Schizosaccharomyces pombe: one gene and its partners. Changing the gene in region 1 together with any one later gene gives a genetic interaction. Each region holds a gene or a part of one and is shown on either strand. Other genes may lie near its edges. The genes, in order: cip1, csx1, upf1 and atf1.

What was found.
Region 2: of cip1 (region 1) and csx1, a mutation in one rescues a mutant of the other (synthetic rescue), as found in Schizosaccharomyces pombe (one study listed by BioGRID).
Region 3: of cip1 (region 1) and upf1, a mutation in one rescues a mutant of the other (synthetic rescue), as found in Schizosaccharomyces pombe (one study listed by BioGRID).
Region 4: of cip1 (region 1) and atf1, a mutation in one rescues a mutant of the other (synthetic rescue), as found in Schizosaccharomyces pombe (one study listed by BioGRID).

What each region holds. Positions count from the first base shown.
Region 1 is NC_003423.3:4,261,306-4,265,952, reverse strand, and holds cip1 (RNA-binding protein Cip1), read left to right. Parts: upstream 1-1,875; 5' UTR 1,876-2,007; coding exon 2,008-3,480; 3' UTR 3,481-4,135; downstream 4,136-4,647. Other genes in the region: SPOM_SPBC16A3.17C (transporter), read right to left, coding at 1-394; NuA4 histone acetyltransferase complex subunit Eaf7, read left to right, coding at 4,634-4,647. UniProt on the Schizosaccharomyces pombe protein: Regulates global gene expression after oxidative stress. Interacts and stabilizes mRNAs and may regulate their transition between different cytoplasmic components after oxidative stress.
Region 2 is NC_003424.3:3,569,475-3,574,265, forward strand, and holds csx1 (RNA-binding protein Csx1), read right to left. Parts: upstream 2,872-4,791; coding exon 973-2,871; 3' UTR 533-972; downstream 1-532. Other genes in the region: spliceosome complex disassembly protein Ntr2, read right to left, coding at 1-65. UniProt on the Schizosaccharomyces pombe protein: Regulates global gene expression after oxidative stress. Interacts and stabilizes atf1 and pcr1 mRNAs after oxidative stress, thus controlling their turnover.
Region 3 is NC_003424.3:800,591-806,121, reverse strand, and holds upf1 (ATP-dependent RNA helicase Upf1), read left to right. Parts: upstream 1-1,988; 5' UTR 1,989-2,034; coding exon 2,035-4,812; 3' UTR 4,813-4,981; downstream 4,982-5,531. Other genes in the region: DYRK family protein kinase Pom2, read right to left, coding at 1-1,126; Clr6 histone deacetylase-associated PHD protein-1 Cph1, read right to left, coding at 5,358-5,531. UniProt on the Schizosaccharomyces pombe protein: RNA-dependent helicase required for nonsense-mediated decay (NMD) of aberrant mRNAs containing premature stop codons and modulates the expression level of normal mRNAs. Also capable of unwinding double-stranded DNA and translocating on single-stranded DNA.
Region 4 is NC_003423.3:1,544,307-1,550,412, reverse strand, and holds atf1 (Atf-CREB family transcription factor Atf1), read right to left. Parts: upstream 4,197-6,106; 5' UTR 3,949-4,196; exon of another isoform or gene 3,553-3,948; intron 3,094-3,552; 5' UTR 2,753-3,093; coding exon 1,052-2,752; 3' UTR 551-1,051; downstream 1-550. Other genes in the region: contractile ring-membrane anchor Fic1, read left to right, coding at 5,647-5,694, 5,748-6,106.

The DNA of each region.
Region 1 (4,647 bases):
TTGATGTATCATTAAAGTCTTCAGCTATAGTCGGCAAAGCAGTGGTGACAATTGTATTATCTAATGCAGCAAGAAACAAAGTAAGAATTAAGGCAGGAACCACTATTTTCATATTATTTTCTGGGATTAATTGTATATTGGTATCATCATCATTAGAAGCAGATTCTTGTTTAGAGAATTCAGTGGATTGCTTATGCACGTCAAGTTCATTCACTTTGTTTTCATCCGGAACTATGTCGGTTTCTTTAACTTCCTTTTCTTCATTGGAAGGATATGCTGTCAATATAAAAGGACTGGTGGTCTTTTTAAGGGATAGTCCATCTATTGAATTTTGCCCTTCAGCAGCATTTGTTTTAGAGCCGGAAAATGAGTTGTGAGATGAAGAACTAGACATTGCGTATAATTTATGCTCTTGAATAATAAAAATTTTTTAAACAAATGGCCGCTAGTTGAGATGGACGTTTTTTAGACAATTTTACAAATATTTTTAAGGGGGAGAATAAAGAAAAACAAAGACAAGTAAACAAGGAAATATCCTAATAATAAAGCACTAAAAACCCTATCCAAACGCTTATATATTCCTTATAGTCAAATTTCTCATTGTTGAGTCTTATGGTGATTAATTTGGTAAGCGGCTTGCTAGTGGTATTCAGTAAATTTTTATACAAATATGTGTCTAAGTGATTATCACGAAAATCAGACTACTAGCACAATAACATAATCCATCGAGATCTAATACAATTTAAATAAGGAGAAAAGTGAGAGATGTGACATATATTTGTATGCACACTGACAAATTGTTTTGCAGTATTTGCTTTCTCCGGTACGTCGCTCCCCCTTATAATGAACTTCTTTAGTAAGCAGGAGGAGCTTGAACGCACTTCTCAAGAGTGCATCCTTGTTGTCATTCTAGATATGGTTAAACGACAACATGCGAAATATATCAAATAGAAATTTGCGTGGAGATTCCGCGTATCTACAACAGCTTTTAGCCACGTGTCAATTACACGAACCAAGTTTGAAGTGGTAAGATTTCTAAAATGTAATAAGAAACGCAAAAGGAGGTTTTAAAAAGTAATTTTTCCTCGAAGTGTGATACTTGAGTACATTTCAAAAGAAATGGGTGTGCACGGTGAAGCCTTTAAAAGTCATCTAACGATAGTAATTAATGCTGGATGGAAATAGTTCTTAACGCTTAATATAAGTGGTTTTTATGAAATAGAATAAAAGGGAGGATCGCTGCAGCCGTCAATGTACAACAACATGGCACTTGCTTGACATTTTAACGACTCAGCGAACGTATAGTAAATAAGATTACTTCGATAATTAATAGGTGTCGGTTGAAATAACATTTCGTCTATTAGCGAATGAAGGATCGATAATAAAAGCATTCAAATATGCCTGGCATTGTACATTTCCATGATACGCCTTAAAACAAAATAGCAAGTCTGAAGTCAACAGGAACAGTATAGTAAAAAGAAATAGCAGAAAGGAAGAAAAGTTAAGCAATGCTCAAGTCTACTCGAATTTGGCTAATGGAGAGTCCAGCTGTCTACTTTTATTTATCTATACTCTTCTACAGCTGACAAGATACTCGTTTTCGGTAAGGCACAGCTAATTTAGATTACTCGTTTATCATGAGAGATAGCAAAAAAGCTAAGAACAGCTTCAATCGGCTTTTTACGTTCATACTGCTACTCAATATGTTCAGATTTATATTCCTATTAATTATTAACTGCCTTACTATTTACGCAAACAAGTAAGTATATTTTTTTTTGTGTATAGTAAAGTGTTTGCTGCTTTTCGTTGTATTTTGTTAAACAATTTGGTGTGCTACCGTGTGATGCTGCTGAAAGAGACGCTCAATTAATCCTTAGACTGAACTAGCATCTACAAGTGCAGTATTCTAAGGGGCAAATTACGGGAATTTCCTAGTCAATTTTCTCTGTTTTCACATATAACTTTTATTCCTCAGAATATATCTGGACTCGTTCCCCCGCATCTAGAATGCCTAATGAAATATTTCCCTGGAAAATTCGTGTGGATGAAAGTCGAGGATTAGCAGGTAATTCTGGGACGAAAAAATCAAATCATGAAGCATTATCAAGATTACAATCACCCTTGAATTCTCCTAAGCTACAGCCAATTGGTTCTCCTCAGGCTTCTAGGAAAACAAGCGGTTCCGGTTCGAGTGCTCCGCTGTACCCCAAATGGTCCGGTGCCCTTTCTCTTGCTAGTAGTCGTGCTGCATCGCCGGCTCCTTCTGATAGCTTTCCTACTTTTGGTTATTCTCAGCTTGGTGGGCTAGAAAATAGTTCTAAAGGTTCCGCGCTTTTTAACAGCGCCAATTCTATTGGAACTCCGTACCTCTCGTCCAGGAACTCAAATTCAGCAAATGAGGCGAGTGCTATGGCTTTCCACAATGTCTCTCCTCCTAGTGGTGCTGAATCTTCTTCAGAAAGTAAAAGCTTTTCTGCCAGTGGAAAAGGCAATAAAGCTGATACATCCGCAGAGCCTTCGTTGGATGCTTTTAACAGTACCCAAATCAAAGCAGGATCGACTGCCAATTCTAATTCAACACCGGTTGAACCCGGTGAAGATACCATTCCAACGGCTATTGTTGTGAAAAATATTCCTTTCTCGTTGGAGAAAGATACATTGTTGGATCATTTTAAGCAACTAGGTATTCCCAGACCTTATGCCTTTAATTATCACTATGACAATGGAATATTTCGAGGATTGGCTTTTGCTAATTTTTATCGTCCTGAAGAGGCTCAAGTTGTTGTGCAAACGCTTAATGGCTATGAAATTAATGGCAGACGTCTTCGTGTTGAATGGAAACGCCAATTACCAGCTGCAGAACGCGAGAAGGTGGAAAAAGCAAAGAAACGTCAAGCTGAAGAAAGACGTCGTAAACAGCAGTACAAGATGTTTGAAGTTAGCTTTACTGATCAAGGCTTAAATTTGAATGACACTGGTACCCTTGAAACTTATAGTAGACTTCTATTGTTTGCTCATCAATGCATTCCTTCTCGTGAAATAACATTTGAAACCACTTCTAAGGACGGAAACCTTCTAAATGCCATTAGAATCTTTTGCCTGTACTTTGATCTCGATTACTATGCTCGCCCGAATGGAGAGGTGTTAAAATTAGTAGTTACTCATCCGAATAAAAAGAATACGAGCGTAAGTCAGTCGCAACCTGCATCTCCAAATTTAAGATTTAATATGCCGGCACCGTTAGCTACTCGATTTTTGCAAGAGCATTCATTGAATGGTACTAAGAGTGCCCCTATAACCCCACCTCCCAGTTTCGCAGTACCATTGACAAACCAACTTCGTTCGATTGACGACAAAATTTATGGAAATGAATCACCGCTTCAAAAGGCTTCTACTTTGAGTTCACCTTTCAATTCAAAAAATGATAATGATGCTTCTACCTCCGCTTCCAAGCAGAGTTTTGGTGTCTCCCACTTTTAGAGTCTATGCAATTATAAAGAAACTGTTTATGTACCTTTTAAGATATGATTTTTGTTTACGCCAACTATAGATGCATTTACTATACGCTATTTGTTTTGACTAAATTTTGCTCTTTATCCCTTTATCACTTACTTCTGATGAATCTAAACTCTATGGGCTTCATTTTGTTGATTTTTTGTTTTCCCTTTCACATAGTTGGTTATCCAGCAAATAATCCTTTTAAATACTTAGAAGCTTATATTTTATCGTTTTGAATTCCCACGACACATTTGGACGACTCGACTTAACAGCAATCAATGATGGATATATGTTGGGTGAGGCATAATGTTTTATGACGATAATCAACGGATGAGCGATGCTCCTATTTTTTTACAAATTATAACGATTTTTCTTGTATAAGAAATTTATGCCCTACCGTATAATATACACATACTTTACATGATTAAATTTAACCTTGGACAAATACATTAGTCTGATATTACAAAATTGAACTTTTATTTTTGTAAATTTAATCATCTTCTTTATGTGGATGTGAATGTTCCTAGCTTAGTATTACCGTACTATGGATATAGAAATAAACCTACGATTTAAAGTCTATTTTCTACCAAGCTTGTAGGGCTTTAAATGAGCTACTTTAAAATTACCTAAAATATCGTTAAATTTTCCTATATAATGCGAATTGATTTATATGTAAAAAAGAAAAAGAAATTGCAAGCATGGTGGACTTTTAGTTCCATTGTTAGTAAGTTGTAATTAAAGGAAGTTACAAAGGATTCACTAAAATAAGAATACTTTATGGGTTATCGCAGCCTTACTCAATTACTGCACTTGAATGTCTATTGAATTTAAGAATGAAGAAAGGATAACACAAAGATGCACGATTCTTTTTGGATGAACTTTTATTTTTTGTTAAGGTTATGAAAAAAGATGAAATACACTTGACCTTGTAATTACTGCAGCTAGAAAAAGAAAATATTATAAAAACCAGTTTCATGAGTTATGGCTGGAAGTACCGCACAACACCATAAATATTGATAATCTGCTATATTGCCGATAATATAAAGTTAAATTAGTAGAAAAAGTAAACTAAGAAACAGAAATTTTCTTATTTTACCCATATAAACCTATGTATTAGAGGATAGCAATTGTATTTATGAGTTCGAGGGG
Region 2 (4,791 bases), on another chromosome or scaffold:
TTTTCTTCCTCATTGTCGCTCGTTTGCACGATTTTAGGCTTCGCCTTTTTTAAGTATCGTCGCATGTTGGTAAATGGGTGCTACTTTCTAGGCAAACATATTTCTACCAATCTTTCATATTGAATAGCTATTTTTGTAAAAAAAAAATCATATAAAGTCTTAATTAAAATGATGTTTTTATGTTCTGTGAAAATTAGAAAGGGATAAACATAAATGTCTTTACTTGGGCATTTAATATTATGGCACATACTGAAGAGGTGCATCGGATAATGCAAAGCATCAGAAAAGTATTTGTTCAATTGACTTACATTTTTTTCGACTAATTTTAGAGAAATGTGTTTGAAATTCAAGTTTCAGATTTAAAACTTTTAATTGAAAAGCTACAATCGACAAGCTACCAATATCTACTACAGTCACTGGAAAATTTCCATTATATAAGTTGAAAACAAAAACAATGCTTTTAATTATTTAGAAAATCAGAAGAAAAAATAACAAAATTATTTTTTGGAAAGGACATTTTAAAATAAAACATATAAATAACTCATCGATCCAAAAAAAAGATTTGGACGTTTGAAAAACCTCAATGGAAGTTTTCATGTACATATGTGCATTAAGGAACAACAGCAATGAAAGAAAAATAAAACAATCATAAATAAAACAATCCTTGGCACAAATAATATTCAACAGTTATAAAAAACATCACAAGAGAGATTTAACATACAAGAATAAAAACAAAACAAAATAAAAAAAATCACGAGAGCACCCTTCAGTTCTTTAAGACATTAAACTAACTTGATCAGGAGCCCTCGAAAACTTATACGGATGCCTTTGAAAAACGAAAATAAATAAAAAATTAAAACAAAAACATTAGAAATAAAACAAGAATATTCGGGAAATCCCTTCACTTAAGAAGAGAAGTGGAAGAAACAAATAGTAGTAGTAGTAATGCATTTCAAACATCATAAAAATAATTTATGAATCGCGTGACAAGCGTAGAGAAGGTTGCAAGTATTGACCAGTACAATTAAATGTAGAATAAGAACGAGGAGGCAAGCGACCTCTCAAGTTCAAACCAAAGCCGGATTTCTCCAAACCGTTTTCATTTTGCTCCAACTCATGACGGAGATCAATTAGTGAAGACTGACGCTCCCTTCCTAGGTTCCAAGGCCTAGAAGCTCTCGCTTGAAATGCTGAACCATTCAAAGAAGCAGGTTGCTCATCATCAACCAACTTTAAGGAGGAAACACGTGTTAATAAATCTTGAGTAGCAAAGGAGTTATGATTGTTGCCGGAAAAAGGCTGCAACCATTCGGGGAGCTTCACACTAGGCTGGACCTTTGCAGAACCATTAATTTTTGAGGATTGCAAAACAGAAGACTGAGGATACACCTGTCCGCCTACCAAGCCAGTGGCAGCTGAAGGGAAATGGGAAGAAAGAGGTGTCAAACCTGAGCCACTACCGGACAACGTAGGAGAAATGGAGGCTGAACGAGACAAAGGAGGTGGAGAAATGGTTGAAAAATTTACGGAGTTCATGCCATTGATTGAGGAAACAACGGAGTTTGGCAACAAAGATTGCGCAGCAGCAGTACGAGGTGAAACAGGTGCACTCTTCAAGCTAGAGCCGGATGAGTTTGAGCTGCCAGAGTTTGCTCCAATGACAGATTGATTCATACCGAAAATTTGGTTAGCGGAAAGAGTTCTGTCGAAGCCCTCATCTGAAACTTGGGATTGAGATTGAGACAAGGCAGATACAGGAAGCGTATTATGACCCCACGCGAGGCGGATATGAGAAGTACCAACTAAGGCACCCTGCATAGTGTTTATGGCCTTTTCAGCAGCAGATTTTTCACTGTACTGGACAAAGCCACATCCCTTGCCAAAGGGAATCTTGATGTTCAAAATTCTTCCAAAGGGCTGAAAGCAAACTTGCAAATCTTTCTCGGATAAATTGCTAGCCAAGCCACCGACAAACACCGTAGTGTTCAAAGGATCCATGCTACAAAGATCTTGATTAGGCTGGCGGTTAGAAGTAGAAGTAGGAACGATACCAAGGGCAGAATCGGCGGCGATGGAGGCTCTAGACTTTGGTGAAGCGACAGAGATGCGTAAGGGGCGACCTTGACACAAATAGCCCTGCATATGCATCAAGGCATGTTGTTGTTCTTTCTCACTTGAAAAGCGAACAAAGCCATATTTCCTGCTGAGACCGGTAACGGGATCGACAATGATCTTGGCTGAGGTACATGAGGGATATATGGAACGGAAAGTCATAAAAAGATCCGAATCCTCGGTAGTGGGAAGAAGGTCGCCAACGAAGATACTAAACTCAGGATCACGGGAAACAAAGTTGTTATGTTGAATGCCGCCACCAGTAGCCCAGTTAAGCTTGAAGGTACAGTGAGCACCAGGAATCATGGTGTTATTATACTTCATCAAAGCACGCTCAGCAGCTGCAGAAGAGGAAAACTGAACGAAGCAATAGCTGATAAGCGTTTCCGAAGAGGATGCTTTGGAGCGCATGACTTTAACGTTGACAGGTTCGTTGAGGGAAGCCCAGAGCTGTTGAATAAAAGTAGCGTCCATCCAAGGTTCCAGGTCACCCATCCATAAGGTGTCGCTCATTTTCGAGCCAACACCTGCTACATCTTGAAGTGGAGTGGAGCTAGGAGAACAGTTGAAAGGAGCCACAAGTCTCTCCAAAGTAGGAGAAACTAACTCTGATTTGCCCTCATCAACCACAGGGGAAATGGGGGCATTGACATCTGAATTAGAAGCTGACATTTTCGAGGTTGCTGGAATAGACGAATGCAAAGGGACGAAGGAAGTATCAAACAATGAAGAACGGCGATAAAGGCAGTCAATAGACATTTAAATAGATATCCAAAAAAAAGTAAAAGAAAGTAAGTAATATGAATGAACAACAAAGTTTCAATGAGACACAAAAGTCAAAAAACGTAACCAGTATAAGACAATGGGTGGTAGAATCTTTCAACGATGAACAAAATAAAGCTTAGCTTATAACGTACAGACAAATAAATCAAGGACGAAAAAGCGAGAGGTCTAAGAACTCTTGAGATGAAGAAATGCTAATAGAACAATCAAGAACAATTTAATAAAAAAAAAAAGAGAAATTTTTTTTGCTTGCGTAAAGTGTAACGGTAAGAGCAAAAAAAAAAAGATTCAGGAATAAAAGAAGTACTAAAACAAAGTGTTACAAAGATCGAGTATTAAAGAGGATTGGAAGAATAAAAATCAAAATCGATCTGAAATAAAAGGAAATTAATAAATGAGATGGTTTCGCGGTAAAAAGCTTGTTGAAGTGAAAATATAAAAAAAAAACACAGAAACAAAGTTATTCGATTGTTGATGAGACAAAAAGCGAAAATACAATCCTTAATGAGGCGTGAAAGAAAAATTCGTTAAAATCACTGAATGGGTACACGAAAAAGAAAACCTGATGGTTGTGATGAAGCAGGGTTCTTCAGTTTTTATTTTAAAAATAATAAAACAAGTAATACAATGTACGAAAGAAAAAGGAAACAACGATGAACAAGGTCTCTTCTGAAAATTATTAGGTATGAAGAATAAAAAAAAGAAAAAGAAACCAAAGGTTGGAAGAGAGAAAATAAAGAAAAGGAAAAAAGAAAATCGAGTCGAGTTAATCAATCACAGAAAGAGAAGAAGAAAAGAAAATAAAATAAAATAAAAATATATATATATGTGCAATAAAAAACGAAGGAACCTGACAGGGGGGACAGAAGTGTTTTCTTTGATGAAGTTAAAGAACAACAGCAACAATGACAAATATATATATATATATTATATTATATTATATATTATATAAATATAATATATATACAATGCAGGAAAAAGAGGTGTCCGTATATTATAGGTTTATATATATATACTGTGCAGTATATGTATGTTATAATATATAAAGAACAAACGAATCCTTTTGATATCGAGTAGTCCTTTTTTTCGCTAGTGATATAGCTAAATAGGAGGATACGGTATGCGAGGAAGTAAAAGGGAAAATTTTCCTTCTCGAGAAAGGTAGAGTTTGAAAGAGACGAGAAGAAGAATGGAAAAAAGATACCAAAAGCAGTCAGTAATATATAACCAAGTAAGGAATCTGCAAAAAGGTACGGAAAATTTAGAGGGAACGATAGAGTAGGGAAGAGGAGAAATCGTTCAATAGGGGAAAAAGAAGAAAAATGAAAAAAAAAGTGGTGATAGGATAGAACGCTGGAATGCTAGAGGAATTCGGTAAAATACAAATAAATAAGTCACGCAGCGAAAAAGAGAAAAAAAAAGTACAACCGGTTCCGAATGCAAAGCGAAGCAAAGCAAAGTAAAGGAAAGAAAGGATGAACCGTTGGGAGACGAGTGAAAAGTAAAAGTGAATGGGAGAGAGTAGGAGCGTGTCCAGACTAGGCAAGCACTTTAAATAGCGAGACCTTAAAAACGTATACACACAACAAGGGGGGTACGGTGTGTAATAAACACAAATGAAGTATGGGCTATGCAATCAGCTAGGCAACACAAGACAAGCAAGGCGAGGGAAAGTGGCGAAATCCCAAGAGAGCAATAAGGATGCGTAGCGAGGAAAAAAAGCGAGACAGCGATGCGCACCGGTACCGAAAACCAAAGTCCGAAAAATGGATGTAAGATTTACGAGGTTAAGAATCGAAAGAGGACAAGGGAGAGAGACAGAGAGAGCACAAGGCAGTAGAGAGAGTATGTGCGTGAGAGAGAGAAAATCAGGTAAGGATTGATGTGGGAGGATGG
Region 3 (5,531 bases), on another chromosome or scaffold:
GAACTTTTGAACCGGGAGCCCTCGGAAGTCTACGTAACGTAGAAGCGGATGAATAACTAGAAATTGTTGAACCTGGAGGGCGAAATTTCGAATTTTTGTTAAACTTCTTACCACTTGGTCTGTTACCATAAGTGTCCAGAGGAGTTGTAGAACCAGAAAAACCAACAATTTCTGACATAGGAGAATAAGGCCTATTATTTAAAGGAATACTTTTATATGGACTAAAGTTGAGATCTTTTTGATGATCATTGTCTCTTTGGGACGTTAATTTCGTAGATTGTGATGCATGTCCGTATGAACTGCTCTGAATATTATTATTAAAATTGGATGGTTTCATTCGCGAAGCCATTCTTGCAGTATCATCAGCTCTTTTAGAATTTTTTCCGAGGGTTCTGGGTCCATTTACTATAGAAGACCGTGGTGAAGCAAATTGAGAACATTCATGGAATTTCGATTGTTGTGGATATTCATATTTGTTAGTTTCAGAAGATAATGTTTTTTTTTTGTTCATGGGATAATTCGTTCCTCCTGGGGTTTCATCTAGCTGATTAATAGTTTCTTCGTAAGCTAAAGTTTTTGTCTTGCTTAATTTGTTGAGTGGATGTCGGTTTTCGACTGTAGGGATGGTTTCATATTCTTTGCTGGAATTGGGATTAGCAAGCTTTTCTAGTACAATGCGACGGTTTTGAGATATAACTGGGTTGTCTAATTTTCCACTCTGTATGTTGTCATGAAGCGATGCATCTTGTAAACCATCCAAAGTACTCAAATTTTTATTCAGAAAGATTTCTTTTAGATCTGCAAAATGATGCAATCCTTTTTTCTGTGCCAAGTGTTCATCTTTAAAGGACTTCTCTTCTATTCCAACAGCCGATTTTTCTTCATTTTGATCGGGCTTGTTAGGCCTTTTCACACTATTTATTAATTCTGTAAGTATTTTGCTATTGTGTGAATATTGGCGTTGCGATAACAGAAATACGGGCTCTTTAAAAGTAGAATGAGCTCTTAGAGGACTGCATGTCTGTTCAGTCAGATTATTAGGAGAAAGGAAATTAGACACTGGGGCTGAGGAACTTTTACTCTCCTGTTTAGGCAGCGTTTCGCTTGTACTTATTAACCCCACCATTTATAATTGTTGTCGAAGTTGATTAACGTAAAGAAAGTAGAAAAATCAAATAATTAAAGGCACTAGCTGCTTAAACCAGGGTGGGGAAAAATGAAATGTTGTGAAACGAAAAATAATTTTAAAAGAAGGAATTAAACCCGGATTTGGAGAACAAATACTTACAAGTAAATCAACTTGTTAAACGCAGCATTCGAAGTCCCCTCTTTGAAGCCTCTTCAGTTCATGAAGAGTTTGCCGCTAAGCACCACATAAACTCCAAGAAGTTCAGACAATTAAGAGGCCTGAAATTCTTAAAATTATTTCAATTTGGATAGTTTCACACGGGCAGTTGTTGTATAGGTGGAAGTAACACACTCCTTGAAAAGTTCAAAATGGGTAACGGTACACTTGGTATGCTAACTTCCAGAGCGAGTAGATACAACTCTCATGTTAATAAATTTGTATAGAGTCCGATATTAAGTTAAAAATATCTGTTTATTACTTTTCGACAACTGTTAGTCAAAAAATTAATAGTCTTCAATATGATTGTTTACATGGTCTCAGCAACCGTTTATATAATTTTGTTTAATTCCAATAGTGAGCACCGATTTGTGTCACAATACTACAGTGCTCTACCTTATTTAGTAATCTATAGTACGACCAGCTGTTTCAAGAACGTAAATGATCATCTCGAAACTGACAAAATTTATCTACCCTGAATAGATATAATATCTTACAAGTAAATGAGTCTTGCTATTGTTAGTTTTTCCCATTAACGGCGTTTTTTGTTTACGTTTTAGGGAGCTTCCTAGCAGCACATTTTAACTCATTAAACCTCACTAAATGACTAACCTTTCTTTCTAAAAATGTGTTACAATTATTTACACTTTGCAAATTGACGGCTTAATAACATATCAAGTTGTCTTTCCATGTCTTTAGGGCTACAACCTAATAATGATATTTCATCTTTAGTTAGTTCAAAAAATATGACTTCTGAAAATGGACTAGAGCATCAATTTGAAGAATTATTAGTCGAAAAACAATATTCTGAAGAACACTGTGCCTATTGCCACATAAAGAATCCAAATTCTATATTGAAATGTTTGCATTGTAATAAATGGTTTTGTAATGTAAGAGGGAAATCTGGAGCTTCGCATATCATTAGTCACCTAGTTCGTGCTCGACATAAGCAGGTTGCTTTACATAGCCATTCTTCTCTTTCAGACACAGTACTTGAGTGTTATAATTGTGGAACGAGAAATGTGTTTCTATTAGGATTTATACCAGCAAAAGCTAAGACAGTGGTTGTTTTATTATGCCGACAACCTTGTGCTAGAGCTAGCATAGCTAAGGATATGAACTGGGACTTGACTCAATGGCAACCCATTATTTCAGATCGTCAGTTTCTTCCATGGTTGATAACTCCTCCATCCGAAGAGGAACAAAAGCTTGCAATCCCAATCACTTCACAGCAAATGGTTAGGCTTGAAGAACTTTGGCGTAAAGACCCTAATGCTAACCTCGAAGACTTGGATAAGCCCATTGAGGATGATTCATTACCTTCAGTAGAACTTCGATATAAAGATGCTCACGCGTATCAAGCAGTTCTTTCTCCGCTCATTCAAGCGGAGGCTGACTATGATAAACGACTCAAAGAATCGCAGACTCAAAAAGATGTTGTGGTTCGGTGGGATCAAGCTATCAATAAACGATATACTGCTTGGTTTCTCCTTCCCAAACTTGAATCTGGTGAAATTCGGTTGGCCATAGGAGATGAAATGAAGCTTACATATGAAGGAGAACTAAGAGCACCCTGGAGCTCCACAGGATATGTTATTAAAATTCCTAACAACGTTTCAGATGAGGTAGGTTTAGAACTGAAGCGTTCAGATAAAGTACCTATCGAATGTACTCATAATTTTTCCGTCGATTATGTTTGGAAATCTACTTCATTTGATCGAATGCAGACTGCTTTGAGGTTATTTGCTACAGACGGATCACGTCTTTCAAGCTTTTTGTATCATAAATTGCTAGGACACGATATCCCTCCTTCCTTCCTGAAACCAAAATTACCGTCTGATTTATCGGTGCCTAATCTGCCAAAATTGAATGCTAGTCAGAGCGAAGCTGTTCGTGCAGTATTAAGTAAGCCACTCTCGTTAATTCAAGGGCCGCCAGGTACTGGAAAAACTGTCACCTCAGCATCTGTAGTCTATCACCTGGCCACGATGCAATCACGCAAGCGTAAATCCCATTCTCCCGTATTAGTTTGTGCACCTTCGAATGTTGCTGTTGACCAACTTGCTGAAAAAATACATCGTACAGGACTTCGTGTCGTTCGAGTTGCCGCAAAGTCTAGAGAAGACATAGAATCATCGGTTTCCTTTTTATCTCTTCATGAGCAAATTAAAAACTATAAGTTTAATCCAGAGTTACAACGTTTATTGAAGCTACGAAGTGAAAATAACGAATTATCTATTCAGGATGAAAAAAAACTGCGTATTTTGGTTGCTGCTGCCGAAAAAGAACTATTACGTGCGGCTCATGTCATTTGTTGTACTTGTGTTGGTGCTGGTGATAGAAGGATTTCCAAGTACAAATTTCGTTCAGTACTTATTGACGAAGCTACACAGGCTTCAGAACCTGAATGCATGATTCCTTTAGTTTTAGGCGCCAAACAAGTAGTACTTGTTGGTGATCACCAACAACTGGGACCGGTTGTTATGAATAAAAAGGTTGCATTAGCTAGCCTTTCCCAATCACTTTTTGAGCGACTGATTATATTAGGAAACTCTCCTTTCAGATTAGTTGTGCAATATCGTATGCATCCCTGTCTTTCAGAATTTCCATCGAACACTTTTTATGAAGGTACTCTTCAAAATGGTGTCACTACTTCTGAGCGTATTGCTAGACATGTTGATTTTCCATGGATACAACCTGATTCGCCATTAATGTTTTATGCAAATTTCGGTCAGGAAGAGCTGTCGGCTAGCGGTACATCATTTTTAAACAGAACGGAAGCCTCAACGTGTGAAAAAATTGTTACCACATTTTTAAGAAGCAACGTGCTTCCTGAGCAAATTGGTATTGTTACTCCATATGATGGTCAGCGTTCCTATATTGTTCAGTACATGCAAAATAACGGATCAATGCAGAAGGATCTTTATAAAGCTGTTGAAGTAGCATCGGTGGATGCGTTCCAAGGAAGAGAAAAGGACTTCATTATTTTGTCGTGTGTACGTTCTAGTGAACACCAAGGTATTGGTTTTGTTAACGATCCAAGAAGGTTGAACGTTGCATTGACTCGAGCAAAGTATGGTGTAATTGTTCTCGGTAATCCAAAAGTCCTTGCTAAACATGCTTTATGGTATCATTTTGTCCTCCATTGCAAGGAAAAAGGATATTTAGTTGAAGGCACTTTGAACAGCTTACAAAAGTTTTCCTTAACCCTTACTCCTCCTCAGAAACCTCAAAAATTTAAAAGAGACCTCAATGTACAAAGATCACTATCTCCTATACAGAATGCCGGTTCTGCCATGTTACCTTCGTTTTCTAATCTTCCGAACTTATACTCTTCCTCGTATCTTGAAGAATGGAATGTCTTTGCTCAATACAAACGAAGAGAAAGCAACGCTACCGACTTTGAAGACTTTAGAAGTCAGGTTGGTGATGATGAAAGCAAGTTCGACGAACCTACTAGGTTCTAGTTAATAAGTATTTGCTTACTTGTAATTACGAATGCCAACATATCTTTTATTTGTTGATATTTTTGGTGTTCAAGTTTTATGGACCGTTTGGTCTGTAAGCGTTTTAAACCATTGATATGGCTGTTAAATAGACTTTAGTAATAGAACCTTTCCTTATCACTTTCTTTTATTTTATTCCTCTTTGTCTAGTAAATGCATCTTACTCATATATACTTATATATACTTATATATACTTATATATACTCACACGGTACAATACGCGTATAAAATTTAAGTATTGAGAAGTTGTTAGTATAAAATAGAACTTTTGCCCTATTAGGAAGGATTTGCAATGATTAATTGCATAACGAAAATTTTTTAAAAGCCTTAATGGAGAAAAGTAATGTAAAATAAGCCAATTACAACAGATAGCCAGTTCTAAGAGGTTTTATAAATACAACATTAGCAAAAAAATAACAGAAAACAACCTTTTCTGACGATTTGAACACGACAGATTAGATTAACGTAGTCTGATTTTATACAAAATGTAAAAATATCGTAAAAATTCAAGTGCGTGCCTTATTGAATAAAGTGCGTAGTGCAATAGGTAGGTTTGGGTGCGTTCTCGCAGGAAGTAGTGCGCTTTTTACGTCTGGAGGAATAACCTCTAACTCTCGTTTTTTCCTTTCATTATTAAACTTTTTAGCTTCTATGCCAATCGCGTACAAAAAATCTTTGAT
Region 4 (6,106 bases), 2.7 Mb from region 1:
TTTGTTTTTTTTTTCCATCTTTTAACAAATGATAAAAATTATAAGCATTGATTTGTATACTAAAGCTTCGTGAATTAATTATGTCTACACTTTCTTTTAGTGTTTGAATATTCAACATCTATGCAATATATATTTTTGGATGATTGATTGTTGTCTATTTTTTTTTACGTTGCATGATTAGATTTGTGTTTAATCAATCGTTCAACAAGTTTATCTCATGTTTATTAAGCTTTCTAATTTGTTATTTTTTATTAATTGTTGTTAGAATTGAATAGTTCGTTCTAAATTGAAACAAACGTTTGCATTTTTATATACGTTTTGTAATGTGAACATCAGTAATTTCATTTTCACTTTTTGTATACATCCTCAATGTAGCGACAAACACTCACTAAGTAAAGTAAATATTGTGAAGGTGCAAATTTTAACTTGATTTCATCTTATGAATGCATGTTCGTATGATAATAGATATGTAAATGACCGATGACAAACCTATTCATTAACTTGATTTATATACTGTTCACGATATTAATACTCCCACAATACACTAAGACTTGTTGATTTCTTACATTAAAGGAAAACAGTAATCAGTTGTTATTAAAAACACTGCTGATTCTTACTAAATAATATAGTTTTAATTATTAAATCAAATCAATCTCATAAGAATGAGTTATAAGTAGTATTCTATAACTCTGCCACATGTGATGAATGGTAAACATTAAGAAAGCGTGTAGTTTTTGTTGTCCAAACGATATTATAGTGAACTAGACACGACAGACAAATTTTATCACTTCATAAAGTACTAAAAGTATGCATGCGGGACGGCGTTCAGTGCAAAATTAAAACAGTAATGGAAAACGGGAAGAAATATAAAAAGAGAAGCCTAAAGATTTTTTAATGTAAAATAAACATATATAATTTCACATCCATAACATAGCTAAATGCATGGAAAAGGGCGTTACAACCCTCAACGGAGGGAAAGTCAAAGGGAAGTAAAAACGTTATTCTTCATTACAACCATCACAGACTGAGACCTTTTCAGATCAAAAACAGTCTAGTACCCTAAATTGATTCTTTGAGCAAGATCACCGCTTCCGATGACACTTGTTGCAACAGCAGCCGAATTACTCTTGGCCACTGGGCAGTCTTTATGAGCAATCAATAAGGTCTTCAAACTCACAATTTCCTCACGTAATGCACTGACTTGTGCACTTAAAATTTCATTTTCATTACCATAAAATTCAACCTTCGCTTGAAGATTAGAAAGCCATTGTTTTTTACGCTGTCTACATTTAAGAGCAGCTTGTCGATTGCGTTCCAGGAAGCTTTTACGTTTCTCTTCATCAGTTTCGTTTTTGGAATTCCGGCGAGATGAACCTTTGCTATACGAAGTGCCGTTGGCAGATTCACTAGAAGCCTTACCATTAATGGAAGAAGTGGGTGAGGATTGATTATTGGCATTACTAGAAGGCTCTTGCGAAGTGGAATAGTCAGTACCATTTTCGAGTTTGACCGGCATCGAATTTGCCGTTGGCATATCAGAATTAGAAGTTTTTTGCGGTAGATTTGTGGATCCATTCTCGGCATTTTGTCCGGAAAAGTCCGTGGTTTGGCGTAATGTTAATGAAGGGTCGGCAGGATTAACTGTATCGCCGTAAACAGATGGCATGCCGTTAAATTGTTGCGACCCCATAAAGTACATAGGCTGTTGCTGAGTACGAGATGCTTGAGGGTTCATTGTACCTGTAACAGCTTGGGGGTTAGTATTTTGAGTAAAAGATGGCCGGATAGAGTCGGGGAAAGTCTGTTGCTGAGTTTGCTTCAGGAGGTTGTTGGCAGTGGTGGATGCTGCTTGATCGTTTTCAGAGGAGATGGGTTGCTGAAGCTTTTGCTGCTGATCGGGAACCTGGGAGAGTAAGCATAACCCATGAACCGCAGCATTGGCACCGAAATAATCAGACTGGTCACCATTCGTCCCATTTACAACAGGCGGTTTACCATCCCTTGGGGTAAAACGATATTGATCAGGAAATTGAGAATCAAACGTATGAAACCCTAATAAATTGGCAGTACCAGGTGAAGGAGCGGGAAATCCAGCTCCAGTAGGGGTTAAAAGAGATCGGAAGGGTTCATTAACACCAGGAGTAAATCCAGTTCCACTAGAAAATCTAGCTGCTGCAGATGCATCTGAAGGATTGTTTAGGTAGTCAGGACGAAGAGTAGCATCATAAATAGCAGGAGAAAGGGGATTATGCATTGTACCACGAGTAAAAGCAGACCAAGCAGGATAGCCCAACGGCGAGGCAATACCTGGAGCTCCACTTAAGATATCAGGTGATGCTATGGAAGAAACAGGAGGTAAGAGAGTTCGCGCAAACGCAGGAGGCACACCTGAAGGAATGTTACTAAGGCTAGGATTACGATTAAGAGAAGGATTTCCTTGTCCAACCGAAGCGGTAGAGCCAAATGAATGCTCAAAGGGGTTGGGTTCGTAATCCAGCTTCAAGGAGCCTACGAAAGACGGAGTTACACCATCGGATTGGTCAGCTGGATTCGCATTAGCGACAGATCCGGCCCCTCCATTAGGAGCGATAGTTGAAGACTGTTGATTCTGCTGAGAATTGTTGCTTGGTGGTGCAAATGAATCAGATTGATTGTTTTCCGGAACCTGAGTACTGGAAGCAGTAGCATTACCATTTGAAACAGCGGCAACAGATGCTGGTTCTGTGGAAGTATTGACGGGAGACGGGGACATAATTGAAGAATTTATGCTTTAACACTTGACAAAATGTATTAAGAGATGACGTTAAAAATCACACACGCTTAAATAACGAAAATAAATAATTTAGATATATAGATGAACCCGTTTAAAGAGAAGATCGAAAATAGTTTTGTCAAAACTAAATAAAAAAACAACTACAAGAAATTAATGGCTTTCCAAATTTGACAAGACAGAAGTAATAACGGCTGATAAAGCAGAAAAAATAGAAACTATATTGTTTCAATAAAAAAGAAAAGAAAAAAAAAGGAGGAGGAGATTAAGGAGATAAAAATACAACTTTCTCGAAAAAAAAAGGGAAAACCGCGACGGAGGCTCTAGACGAGAATTAGTTAGATGTCTGTACAGGCAAAGCTAGAAGACTAGATATGCAAGATTGTGAAGGAAGATATTCTACAAAGGGTAAAAAAAAACTCGCAAAGGTAATAGTCAAGTTTGTAAAAGAACATGTCCAAATAAAATAACAAAGAAACTAATAAAGAATTACAAAAGATAAAAGGGATGTTCCTACTCTTTGTTCTTTTCCTTTTCTTCGTTCGATCGTTTTTGTTAGGGTGTGTTGATTTGGATTATATGAATGTGGAGGCCTTTTTTGAATGAGTTTCAGAACTTAATGTGAGAGAGTACAGTCAAGCGTAGAGTAATAAAGAGATTCGTACTTCAACAGCAAATACACCTGCTAAAACACCCGTTTTTCTTTTTTGGAAATTTTTTTGCCAAAAACGAGACAAAACGGGTTTTCCGCTCTTCTAGCTTCCTTTCTACTCTTGTTCTCTTCCCGTGTGCGTTTATTCACTTCCGAGAAATCATTCATCAAAAGTTGCCACCACATAGATCCCAGTTCAGTCAAGGCAATAGTAACCTACAATGGTAACAAGTAAAATTTTCTAGCACAACAACACCAAAAAAAAATTTCCAAACCCTCAAAAAACGAAGGAATTCCAAACACATTTTACGTTTCCTGTAAACTAACAACCCCATAACGATCAGTGTTATTGATAAGAAAGCGTCATACTCGTCATGTTTAGTAGGGTCAATGACGATAGGAGCAAATTTTCAAATTTTCATAAAAATTCGGTTTTCAACACAACCCGTCACGTTTTTATCACGCTCTTCCAATTTTACAGCCTTTTACATAATCAAACTTCACAATTGCATGTATAAACACATACCTATTTGACTTAATCAACCAAACGTACTAGTAGCAGGTCGTCGTCATGAACCAGAGAATTCGTAATTCAGATCCAACTAAGCGATGACTACTGTATAAATGATGAAAAGACTCGGTCAACTGTCCAAACTGAAATTTACAAACAGAAAAATGGTTTTCGTCAATTCAATCGTTCAAAAAGTGCTCAAAGTAAACTTTTTAGCAATTTCCTAAGTAGTTTCTTTCTTCTTATGTTGTAAGTAAAGGGTAAGTTGTAAATTCCTAGTGCCACACTTCCACCTGTTTCAAACAGATGACGTCATTGCATCACTTTGCATGATTGAACTTAACCAATCACGTGCGGGGCTCTGAAGAAGGGTAACAAGGAAATGGGTCTGGAATAAACCGAGCAAGACGATACTTAAAGTACTGCTGTGTAGTTTTGTATTTTGTGTTATCGTATCGTTAAGAAACGTATCGATAGTTTGGGGAATGGGAAAGGATGGACGGAAAGTAGGATGTTATTGGTATATCATGGAGTGCGTGCTTTTTAAGCAAATATGATGTTAGCAATATGTAGTAAAAATGGTGAGTTTGTGTATAGTGCCATGAATCTTATTTCACTCTTAACTCAAGCTTATTTTATATTAACCGATGAATGAATAAATAATATATCTTTGATGAAGCTAAATCGTTGCGTGTATTTCTGATATTATGTTGTATGTAGGTAAGTGTTTTAGGTTGGACTTCTGCGTGTTTGTAAGATGTGTACGTACGCTGAGTAATTAGCAATGTATGAATAGATCCAGCAGTTCCAGAAGACCTACGAAAAAATAAAATAAAATAAAATAAAATAAAGTAAAAAATAAAATTAAAATAAAAATAAAGATAGGTTATACGCAGAAATAATATACAAGTTTCAAATATTATGAGTACTTGTCACGAATTCAATTATGGAGAATTCTGTACAGTAGGATCTTTCAAAAAGTCTTTACATAGACTTAGATTGTATATATAACATACCAACCCTTACAACATTTAAATAACAGTTTTAATAGCTAATTCATTTGTTTTACAATGAAATCTTTTGCTTACATTTTCGGGAACTTATTAGTCAATACGGGTTGGCATTTTGTTGGGATTACGGATCCGAAAACTACCCAAAAGATAAGCAAAGAAAATGAAGTTTTTTAAAAACAAAATAAATTTGTATTCGTGAAACATAAAAGAATAAAAAAATTAAGTTAGAAACATTTTATGCAAATCATTCCATTCAATTAGCAATTGTGATGGAATTGGTTATACCAATAGATATTTTACACTCATTTTAAAACAATTAAAATTAAGTGAATATATTTGTGTGGTGTGTACTGAGTCAATCATTAATGCAATTAGTTATATTAATAAAGTTCTTTTTGTTTGCGATAACTTTCGTCTCTCTTTTTTTTTTTTTTTTTTTGTTAATTTTTAATTTTTTTTAACACGGCATCTTTCTTCACGAATTTCCTAACTGGAGCCATCAATATCGTAGCGTACACAAATTTCCGTTAAAGCATTTTAAATTGCAGTAAGCTACGTTAAATGAATGAACGAAAGCTAACCCCCGTTATCGGAGACAAACCAGCCCCCTCCTACAGAAGTTGCGCTGCACTGCTTAAAATCCGCACTCGAATTGTATAAAGTAGCTTTTTTGTTTATAACCCGTTTCTCCATCTACCATATGTCAAAGAATCCTCTTGGAACGTTGGTTGTCCGAATATGGAAAGCTGTAAGTCTTAAAAGATGAAGATTTGTTTTGTAAAACTAACGTGTCTTCTTTAGAAAAATTTACCAAACAAGGCTCTAGTGGGCAAACAAAGCCCTTACTGCGTTTGCAGAGTTGGTGAGGTGGTAAAACGTACGCAAACGGATAAGAGAAGCGGTCAAGAACCATCGTGGAATGCGGTACTGGAGTTTAACATTCCCAGTGAATCTTATCATATTATGAAAATAACCGTTTTTCACGAGGGATTTCGAAAGCATCCACACTTGATTGGTGATACTGTATTGTCTTTTGAGAAAGCGATGAAAGAAGAGTTACAAAGTGAATGGTATGAACTAAAAAATGAGTTCCAATTTGCTGGCGAGCTATCTGTGCAATTCAAGTTTATCCCCACTGATCCTCTATACTTTGACCGTGC